2 linked regions of the Coturnix japonica genome follow. The protein of the gene in region 2 binds, or shares a complex with, the protein of the main gene of each other region. Links are inferred from orthologs where the notes say so. Each region holds a gene or a part of one and is shown on either strand. Other genes may lie near its edges.

Evidence for each region.
Region 1: EIF3I (region 2) and EIF3F share a complex: the UniProt entries of both Homo sapiens proteins name them as parts of the eukaryotic translation initiation factor 3 (eIF-3) complex. The link is inferred for Coturnix japonica from reciprocal best matches to the Homo sapiens genes EIF3I and EIF3F.

Annotation. Positions count from the first base shown.
Region 1 is NC_029521.1:13,754,685-13,758,955, forward strand, and holds the start of EIF3F (eukaryotic translation initiation factor 3 subunit F), read right to left. Parts: upstream 3,015-4,271; 5' UTR 2,993-3,014; coding exon 2,719-2,992; intron 2,609-2,718; coding exon 2,538-2,608; intron 2,462-2,537; coding exon 2,382-2,461; intron 1,442-2,381; coding exon 1,304-1,441; intron 243-1,303; coding exon 151-242; intron 1-150. UniProt on the Homo sapiens protein: Component of the eukaryotic translation initiation factor 3 (eIF-3) complex, which is required for several steps in the initiation of protein synthesis.
Region 2 is NC_029538.1:4,527,580-4,531,818, reverse strand, and holds the start of EIF3I (eukaryotic translation initiation factor 3 subunit I), read left to right. Parts: upstream 1-1,164; 5' UTR 1,165-1,192; coding exon of another isoform or gene 1,193-1,205; 5' UTR 1,206-1,279; coding exon 1,280-1,282; exon of another isoform or gene 1,283-1,286; intron 1,287-1,445; coding exon 1,446-1,538; intron 1,539-1,664; coding exon 1,665-1,752; intron 1,753-2,004; coding exon 2,005-2,070; intron 2,071-2,379; coding exon 2,380-2,529; intron 2,530-2,633; coding exon 2,634-2,761; intron 2,762-3,039; coding exon 3,040-3,150; intron 3,151-3,427; coding exon 3,428-3,517; intron 3,518-3,772; coding exon 3,773-3,846; intron 3,847-4,004; coding exon 4,005-4,097; intron 4,098-4,239. Other genes in the region: TMEM234 (transmembrane protein 234), read right to left, coding at 173-265, 552-618, 903-1,054, 1,193-1,205. UniProt on the Homo sapiens protein: Component of the eukaryotic translation initiation factor 3 (eIF-3) complex, which is required for several steps in the initiation of protein synthesis.

The sequences.
Region 1 (4,271 bases), on a different chromosome or scaffold from region 2:
ACTTGTTCAATACTCTCTAGGATAGCATCAGGTTCAGTGAGACAGTTTAATTCCCCCCCAGAGTGGTAATTTTACCAGGCTTAATAACCAAACAGCATTTGAACAGTATCACGACAATGGTTAGACCCAAAATAGGAATAAAGCATTCACCTCCTATCCGCTCTGTGTCGTAATAAACATACTTCACTGTCAGTGGTGTGAACATCACGCCCATAGTTTTACCAGGGACTCCCATTGGGGCACTAGGAAAAACACATAAATTCAGCATGGACACATCTGAAAGGAAATAATTTTCCATCTCAATGATCTTTATTAGCACTACAGTGTGAACACGAATAGGTTACTCACTGTCAGTAAAATCAGCAATATTAATACCATGTATAACCAAGGACAGGAAATCAATACAGGTATATTATTAACTGCAAATTTTCATCCAAAAATATTCCTAGCTGGTCTGACATTTATCAGTACAAGCGCATGATGAGTTCAGTACTGTCTTCTTGGTGAAGCTGACATGTCTGAGGGATAAAATGCCATTTGAAGAGACCTAGGCAGACTCAAGCAGTGTGCCCAGGTAAACCTCATGAGGTTTGATAAATCCAAGTGCACCTGGGTCGTGATAACCCCTGCTATCAGTATAACCTGGGGGATGTAAGGATGGAGCACAGCCCTGCCAAAAAGGACCTGGGGGAACTCATGGATGTTAAGCTGGACACAAGCCAGCAACATGCTTTGCAGCCCAGAGAGCCAACTGTATCCTGAAACGTGGCCAGCGGGGAGTGGGATGTGATCTTGCCCCTCTGCTCTGGTGAGGCCTCACCTGGAGTACTGCATCCAGATGCAGAGTCCTCAGCACAGGAGAAACATGGACCTATTAGAGTGCATCCAGAGGAGGGCCACAAATAGGATCCCAGGGATGAAACAACTCTGCTACGTGGACAGGCTGAGAGCTGGGGCTGTGTAGCCTGGAGAATGGTGTGAGGTGACCTGAGTGTGTCCTTTCAATATCTAAAGGGGAAGCTATATGAAGGAAGGGGGGCAGACTCTTCAGCAGAGTCTGTTGTGATAGGACAAGGGGAAATGGTTTCAAACTAAAAGAGGGGAGATTTACATTGGACAAAAAGAGAACATTTTTAAAATAGGGGTGGTGAGGCACTGGCACAGGTTGCCCAGACATGTGGTGGATGCCCCATTCCCGTAGGCATTCGAGGCTGGATAGGGCTCTAAGCAACACTATCAAGCTGTAGGTGCCATCCTGATACAATATCTGTTAGTAATTCAGACAGTTCCTGTCCCCATGTACCTGACATAGGCTTTAATGCTCATGCGTGAGTTCTGGAGACTTGTGTCCACAGTGAGGTGGATTGGATTGTGTGCTTCCCGGCTGTAGTACTCGTGGATCAGGACAGAATGTTCTGTGATGTCGTGACCTGTTGCGTACCTTGGAAAAAGCAAATGTTGAAAGACCACTCTTCTAATGTTCAAATGCCCAGTATTTGTTGGTATTTAACAGGTCTGTATTCTAAAACCCTGATGTCCAAGCACTGAGTTGCAGACACATAGTAAAGACTAGTATTATAACTAGGTCATGTGTAGTTTTATGGCTCTCCTAGAATTATAGGCTGAGTGCACACATGCCCAAAACATGCACAGGGTCAGTGTTGTATTACCATCAAAAAGAGTCAGTTTTTTGTCACTATGCTCTGGGCCAAATCTTTATTTCCTTATAAATCAAAGCATGCCAAGCAAATTTGGACCAGCAAAGTAAATCTTAAACAAATTAAACACCCCTGTGCAGGAGGCAGGGCTTGTTCATCTCGCTCCTTCAATTGCTCCGCAATTAACTTCTTGCATGCACAGGAAAGCGACTGCCATGAGAACTGCACCTTGCTGTGCCATGATGGGTTGTTGAGGAAGCCAAGAGTTCTGCGCTTGTAGGATTTTGTTCCATAGAAAGGGGCCAGAGAGGATGTCAATAGACAAACGAGGCCAGTTATCCGTGCACAAACGAGTTCTTTTCCTGTAACACCCCATCACAGGTATTTCCACCTTTACTCAGAGAACACCCTTGTGTTCAGGCTAACATCACCGTTTCCCACCAGCCCTTTGGTACTTTTGTGTTCTCCCTCCAGCTAGTTACCTTACAGACTGTATCACTGCATTCTAATAGATCCATGAGCATTCCCAACCCTCCTGTCTGTGACAGCTCTTCTAGACTAACCAAAAACGCTCTAAGTCTGCGACAGCATCCTTTCCTATCCTGAGTGATGGCACGACTTCACTGCTGCTTCTGCTTTCCAGCCTCTGACAGCAATGACAGATCTGAGGTATCTGAGGGACCTGCACAACTGCCCGCACTTCCCTGTGGCCATAGAACTCACCAGCCCAGGATGATCTCACTGGGAGACACCTTTTTGTGCAGCTCGTACATGTTTTTGGCAAACTCCATATCAACAGCCACCTGGGGAAGGGGACAGAGCCGAGTCAGCGGGTGCAGGAGCCCCGATGGCACATCCCCCATAGCCCCCACACCGTACCTCATCCTCGGACTCGTTGTGCGGGACGGAGAAGCAGTTGGTGACCTCCACCGAGTGCTTGTCCACGGTGCCTGCGGGACGACAGCGGTTAGTGGGGCGGTATTGGTCTTAGTGGGGCGGTATCAGTGGGGCGGTATCAGTGGGGCGGTATCAGTGGGGGCTGCGGCATTGCGGCTCTTACCCAGCAGGGTCCCGATGACCCGCGCCGCGCCCTCGTTGCGCCGCTCGAAGCTGTCCACGATGGAGGCCAGCACCACCGGGTGCAGCCGCACCACGCGGCCGCCGGGGAAAGGACCCGAGAGCGCGGCGGACAGCGGGGCGGAGGGCGGCGGTGCCGCCGGGGCTGAGGGCGGAGGGGGCGCGGCCGCCGTGGGTGTAGTGGGAGCAGCCGTGGGGCTGGGAGCCGGGGCGGCAGCGGGAGGGACCGGAGCCACAGCGGGAGCAGGAGCCGCCATTTTGCGAAGAGAAAGGGGAGAGACCTCGGCCACGACAATTGGCTGATCGGAACGCCTGTCACATACGCCACTTCCGTGAGCATCCGCCCCCTCATGGGCTGGCGCAGCGCTGAGCTCCTGTCTGCCAAAGGCAGAGCTGTGCTACCTGTGTGACGTGGTGTAGGAGCCTGCTTTGGCAGGGGGTTGGACTCGATGATCTCTAGAGGTCCCTTCCAACCCCTACAATTCTGTGATTCTCTGGTGTGATTTCTTTTTACAGCCCTTACACGTCACTGAGCCATTACTTTTGCATGTGCTGTTATGTCGGCTGCATCTTCACAGCTGATATATAATTTCTATATCAGTAGCTATCGTCTCATCTTGCTTGTGCAATGGGAATAAACATAATTTCTTGTTGAGAGGCGAAAAACCCCTTAGAGTACATTAAAAATATTGCATTGAATTACAGGTAAAATAAAATATGCATTTCATGTAGATAAGCATAATTAGGAAAAAGAATAGCAAGACTGATTTTCTGAATCTGTTGGTATCAAAGAATGGAAGTCTCTTTTCCTGCTTGGAACATCAGGTCTGTGTCTCCAGCTCTCACTGTGTTCATGGAACTCCCTCTCTGCCATTTCTCATGGTCATATTGCCAATGCTTTGGCTGGCTGTTGGTTATCTGTGTTTTTCAGGACTGTATGGTAAGTGTTGAGTCACGGCCTGAACCACTGATTGAACAGCTGGGGAAAGGACTGGTCAGCCCTGGGAGCACAGGTGAAGGCAATTCAGCTGTGTGCCTGGAGGGGATGCAGCCTGCCTGCACCTCTCTTAGACCTTATTTAAGGGCTGACTGCTGCTAGTAAAGGGTTTTTTCCTGGAGATCTCTCCTTAGTGAAGCTTTATGCTGCAAACCTAGAATTTTCTGATACAGGTGAGCAATCTTCTCTTACTTTATAGCACCTTTCTACTGTGTTGGTCCTTTTATCATTGCATCTCTTTTGTAATGCTTTTTCTATCATACTGGTCCATCCAATTGCTACTAGGATTTCTCTGGGGCTTTAGTATGAAGTAGTGATGGTCAGTGGCTTCTGGGTTTTAAATTAAAACTAAGTGGTAGTTTCCTTATTCAGCCTCAATGGAGTGTTTTGGATACTCCTCTGCTTCCTGTTCACTTGTGGTTGCTAGTAGATGAACGGCTATTGTTGGCAGCCTAATTTCTAGTATAATGCATTGGTTGATATGTCTTCATATTAGCAGAAGGAATTCAAACCGTTCCTCACTTTTTTTGCAATGTTTT
Region 2 (4,239 bases):
GTTCCAGCCAATTTAAATTCACTAGCTCTACCCCCTTACAAGTCAGTTTCACTTCCTTTTCAGCTTCCTTGCACAAACTACTGCCTAAGCAGTTACCAGAAGGGAGCACACAACATTAAAACAACAAATAGATGCAGAATACAACGTGCCAAATGTTTTAAGCGTAACTTACTTTTACCACCAATATCCTCTCCCAAAATCCTTCCAGTCACCAGCGTGACTATCAGAGCCAGGGAGTTACAGAGCGGCACTGCCAGGGACAGCTCTGAAATTGAACAATTGTAACACGGTTTGAAATGGATGCGTCCTTCATTCAAAGACATCTACTTGAATCCCCCTGTGGCACAAGTGGTAGAAGTGCCGCTCTGCTACACAGGAGGCTCGAATCCCGGGGGTTGGACTCGATGATCTCTAAGGTCCCTTCCAACCCACACCAGACTGTGATACTATGATGATGATACTTGATGTTCAGCCAGATCACCAAATGAATCAGTAATACAGCTCCTCCCCAAACCCTGATCAACCCACTGGACAAAGCAGTGAGAGCTGACCTGCAGATGCCAAGGTGAGGTAGAAGAGGAGCGATCCACATTGGTTCAGCAGGAATGGCACCATGTACTGCGGAAAGAAGACAGGTCACTGCATGGAAAAGCATTGCAATGCCTGCAGCAAGCAGTGCAAGCCTTGGATGCCATGTCTGCAGAAGGCAGGCAGGTCTGAATGTGAAATATGAGGGTTAATTTCTACAAGTGTCTAAGTTCTCCATAAGAAGAGCAGGACTGCAGGTGGGTAGATGAAATGTTATAGAGTACAAATCATTTTGCTGATAGATGGGAGGTGCTGAGTGCAGGAAGGAGCATGAAGGCCCGTCCCATACACCCCATGATTCCGGCTGTGCTCACCTTGTAGTTGCAGCCCAGGAACCTGATCTCGGCCAGCAGCTGCCGTAGGAGCCCCCGGCGCTGCACGTCCAACAGCCCCGCCGCTCCCGTCCGTAGGAACGGCCCGGTGCTGCCCCATAGAACCGACACCAGCACCAGCACGGCGGCCTGCCCTGCAGCACAACATCAGCTCAGCCCCGGGGCTGTTGGCCCGGCCGCCATCAGCCCGCAGCCCCCTCACACAGCCCACCCCGTCCCCTCAGCCCCTCCGGGATCCACCCGAGGCCCGTCCCCCAAACCCGGAAGCTCACCGGCGGCCGCCATAGCGCCCCGTGACCCGGACGTGATACTCCACGCCTCTTCTCTCTCGCTCCGGTTCCGGCAGCGCCGTGTCCGCCATGGTGAGTCGGGTTGTGGGCCGGGCCGGGCTGATGCGGGTCCCGGCTGGGTCCTGGGGTCGGCGGGGCTCCTGGGCTGATGGTGGTGGCAGCCTGAGCCCCAGCCGGGGCCTCGGCCTCGCTTGGCATAGCGTTAAATGGCGCCTTCCCTCATTGCCGCGTGCAGAAGCCGATCCTGCTGCAGGGCCACGAGCGATCCATCACACAGATCAAGTACAACCGAGAGGGAGACCTGCTGTTCACTGTGGCCAAGGATCCCGTGAGTGAACCGGGGGCACCGGGAAACCGGGCTGTGTGCGATGGGGGGGGAGGGATAAAGGTGGGTAATTAACGAGCTCAGGTAATTGGTCAGAGCGGCTCTTCAAGCCTTTTTATCTTCTTTTAGATCGTCAACGTTTGGTACTCGGTGAATGGAGAACGGCTGGGCACCTACAATGGGCACACAGGAGCCGTGTGGTGTGTGGATGCTGACTGTATCCTTTGGGTGCACAACCAGTTTGTGCTCTCGTTCCTTGCAGTGATTCAGCACGGATGGCTCCATTCAGCTGCTGTGTTTAATTGTCCCTTGTGCCATCTCTTGGTTATTTGTGCTCCTTGGGAAGTTTCCCAAGTCCTGTAATTTCTCAATGTAACGCAGCTTCTTAATCTTGTGTGTAAATACTCCCTGGGTATCTAATGATTTTTGGGGCTGCAAACGTGCTGATATCCCTTAACTGCTGACCAAGGGGACACCCGACATGTGCTCACTGGCTCTGCAGATAACAGCTGTCGGCTCTGGGACTGTGAAACAGGTAAAGGCTCTTCTCTCCCACGTGGCTGGATCTGACTCAGCTCTGTCCTGTTCTGGGATCTGTGCAACATGTGCCTGTTTGCCCCTGAAAGAGCCCAAGTCCTTTCTTGGCTGTTTGTGTATTTGCCTTATTTTCAATGGGCACTTATTCATTTTGCTCACCAAGCACATTTAGTGCTTTCCAGTCACCCAACCTGTCTGTCAGCTCTGATGCTCCTGTTCTTTCTATGACTGCACTTCTGTTTGATTGCTTTCATTAATGTTTGCAATGCAAGACCAAGTGAAGTGATGGTTTCTGCTCCGTGTTCAGGAAAGCAGCTCGCTCTGGTGAAGACCAGCTCGGCAGTGAGGACGTGTGGCTTTGACTTTGGAGGAAACATCATCATGTTTTCCACGGACAAGCAGATGGGTTATCAGTGTTTTGTGAGCTTCTTTGACCTGCGTGACCCCAGCCAAATCGGTGAGGAATCCGGGCCTGTGCCTGCAACTGGGAATAAGGGGAAGCGTTGGCTGCCAAGAGCTGGTGCCACTCAGTCTGTGTGTCTCCATCCTTCCTTCCTGCAGAGAACAACGAGCCTTACATGAAAATCCCCTGCAGCGACTCTAAAATCACTAGTGCTGTGTGGGGCCCTTTGGGAGAATTCATCATCGCAGGACACGAGAGTGGGGAGCTGAACCAGTTCAGTGCCAAGGTCAGTGTGATAAGGAGGAGCATCACCCTCAGGCAGCAACTCTTGGGAGAGGATGTTGCAACGTTCCTGTTGTGATCATGTGGCAGAATGTGGGTTTTTTTGGCTCAAACCAGTGGCCTTGAGGAAGGATAGTTAAAGTATGTGGCTTTCTTCAGCAAAGCTGAACATATATATGCCTACCTTTCTGCTGACAGCAACATCTAAAGTCGGTTTTAGCAGAGAAGTTGTTTGTACACTTTCCTTGCCAGTTCACTTAAACTGCCTCGTTTACCCTTCAGTCAGGGGAGCAGCTTTCAAACATCAAGGAGCACACCAAGCAAATCAATGATATTCAGACCTCCAGGGACATGACCATGTTCATCACTGCCTCCAAGGATAACACTGCCAAGGTGAGGCCTCCTGGGGGGACTGCGGTGCATTGCTGACATCCGCTTGCAGGACCCCTGCTCAAAGTCATGGCTGCCTCAGTGGTTTTCTCTTTGGGAATTTGAGCAGGTGTAGAGCCAAAGCTTAGTGGGAGGGCTGATATTTGGGATTCTGGAGCAATAGCTTTGACATTTGGATGCCCAGGAGTGACTTTAGAAGTAACACCTGCTCATGTGAGGACTGGCAGCTGGGGTTTGCATGAGATACTTGGACTGCCACTCTCTTCCTTTTGCATTTTAGCTATTTGACTGCACAACGCTGGAACATCTGAAGACATTCCGGACAGAGCGACCGGTGAACTCTGCTGCACTCTCCCCCATTTTTGATCACGTAAGCATGAGCCCACGCATACTAACGGTCTTAGTGCAGCTCCTGCATTGTCTCAGGCAGCTGGAAGGCACAGTGTCACCAGTTCAGCCTGAGCTAAAGAATCACTGTGGGACAGGGCCAGGGGACTTGACTGCTGTCATGGGCTGTGCTGGGTTAGTGGGAGGCTTCCCCAAGGCTGGGCTCCCTCCTACCCTGGCTGTTGTTCCACATATGGTGTAAGCAGCACTGCAGTGTTGTGACTTTCTTCCTATGCAGGTTGTGCTCGGTGGTGGGCAGGAGGCCATGGATGTGACCACGACCTCCACCAGGATTGGCAAATTTGAGGCAAGGTTGGTGCTCTTCTCTGGCAGGGCTGAGTCTGCACTTGGAGTTCTCTCCTGCTCCCAGAGCGTCTTGCTATTGGCAGCATTTGGAGAGTTACTAGAATTGCAGAGCTTCTCTGAGGAAACCCTGATGACATCCCTAACCTGCCTCTTTCTTCTCCCAGATTCTTCCACTTGGCTTTTGAAGAAGAGTTTGGCAGAGTGAAGGGTCATTTTGGTCCGATAAATAGTGTTGCTTTTCACCCTGATGGGAAGAGGTGAGAATCTCTGGGGGTCTCCAGCACGTCCCCACCAAACGTGGTCTGTTCTGATTAGGATATGGCTGGATTCACTCTGAACTGCAGTGGGGATGGAGCCTGCTCCTTCCTGAATTCTGCCATTCCACCCCTTTTGCCCCCC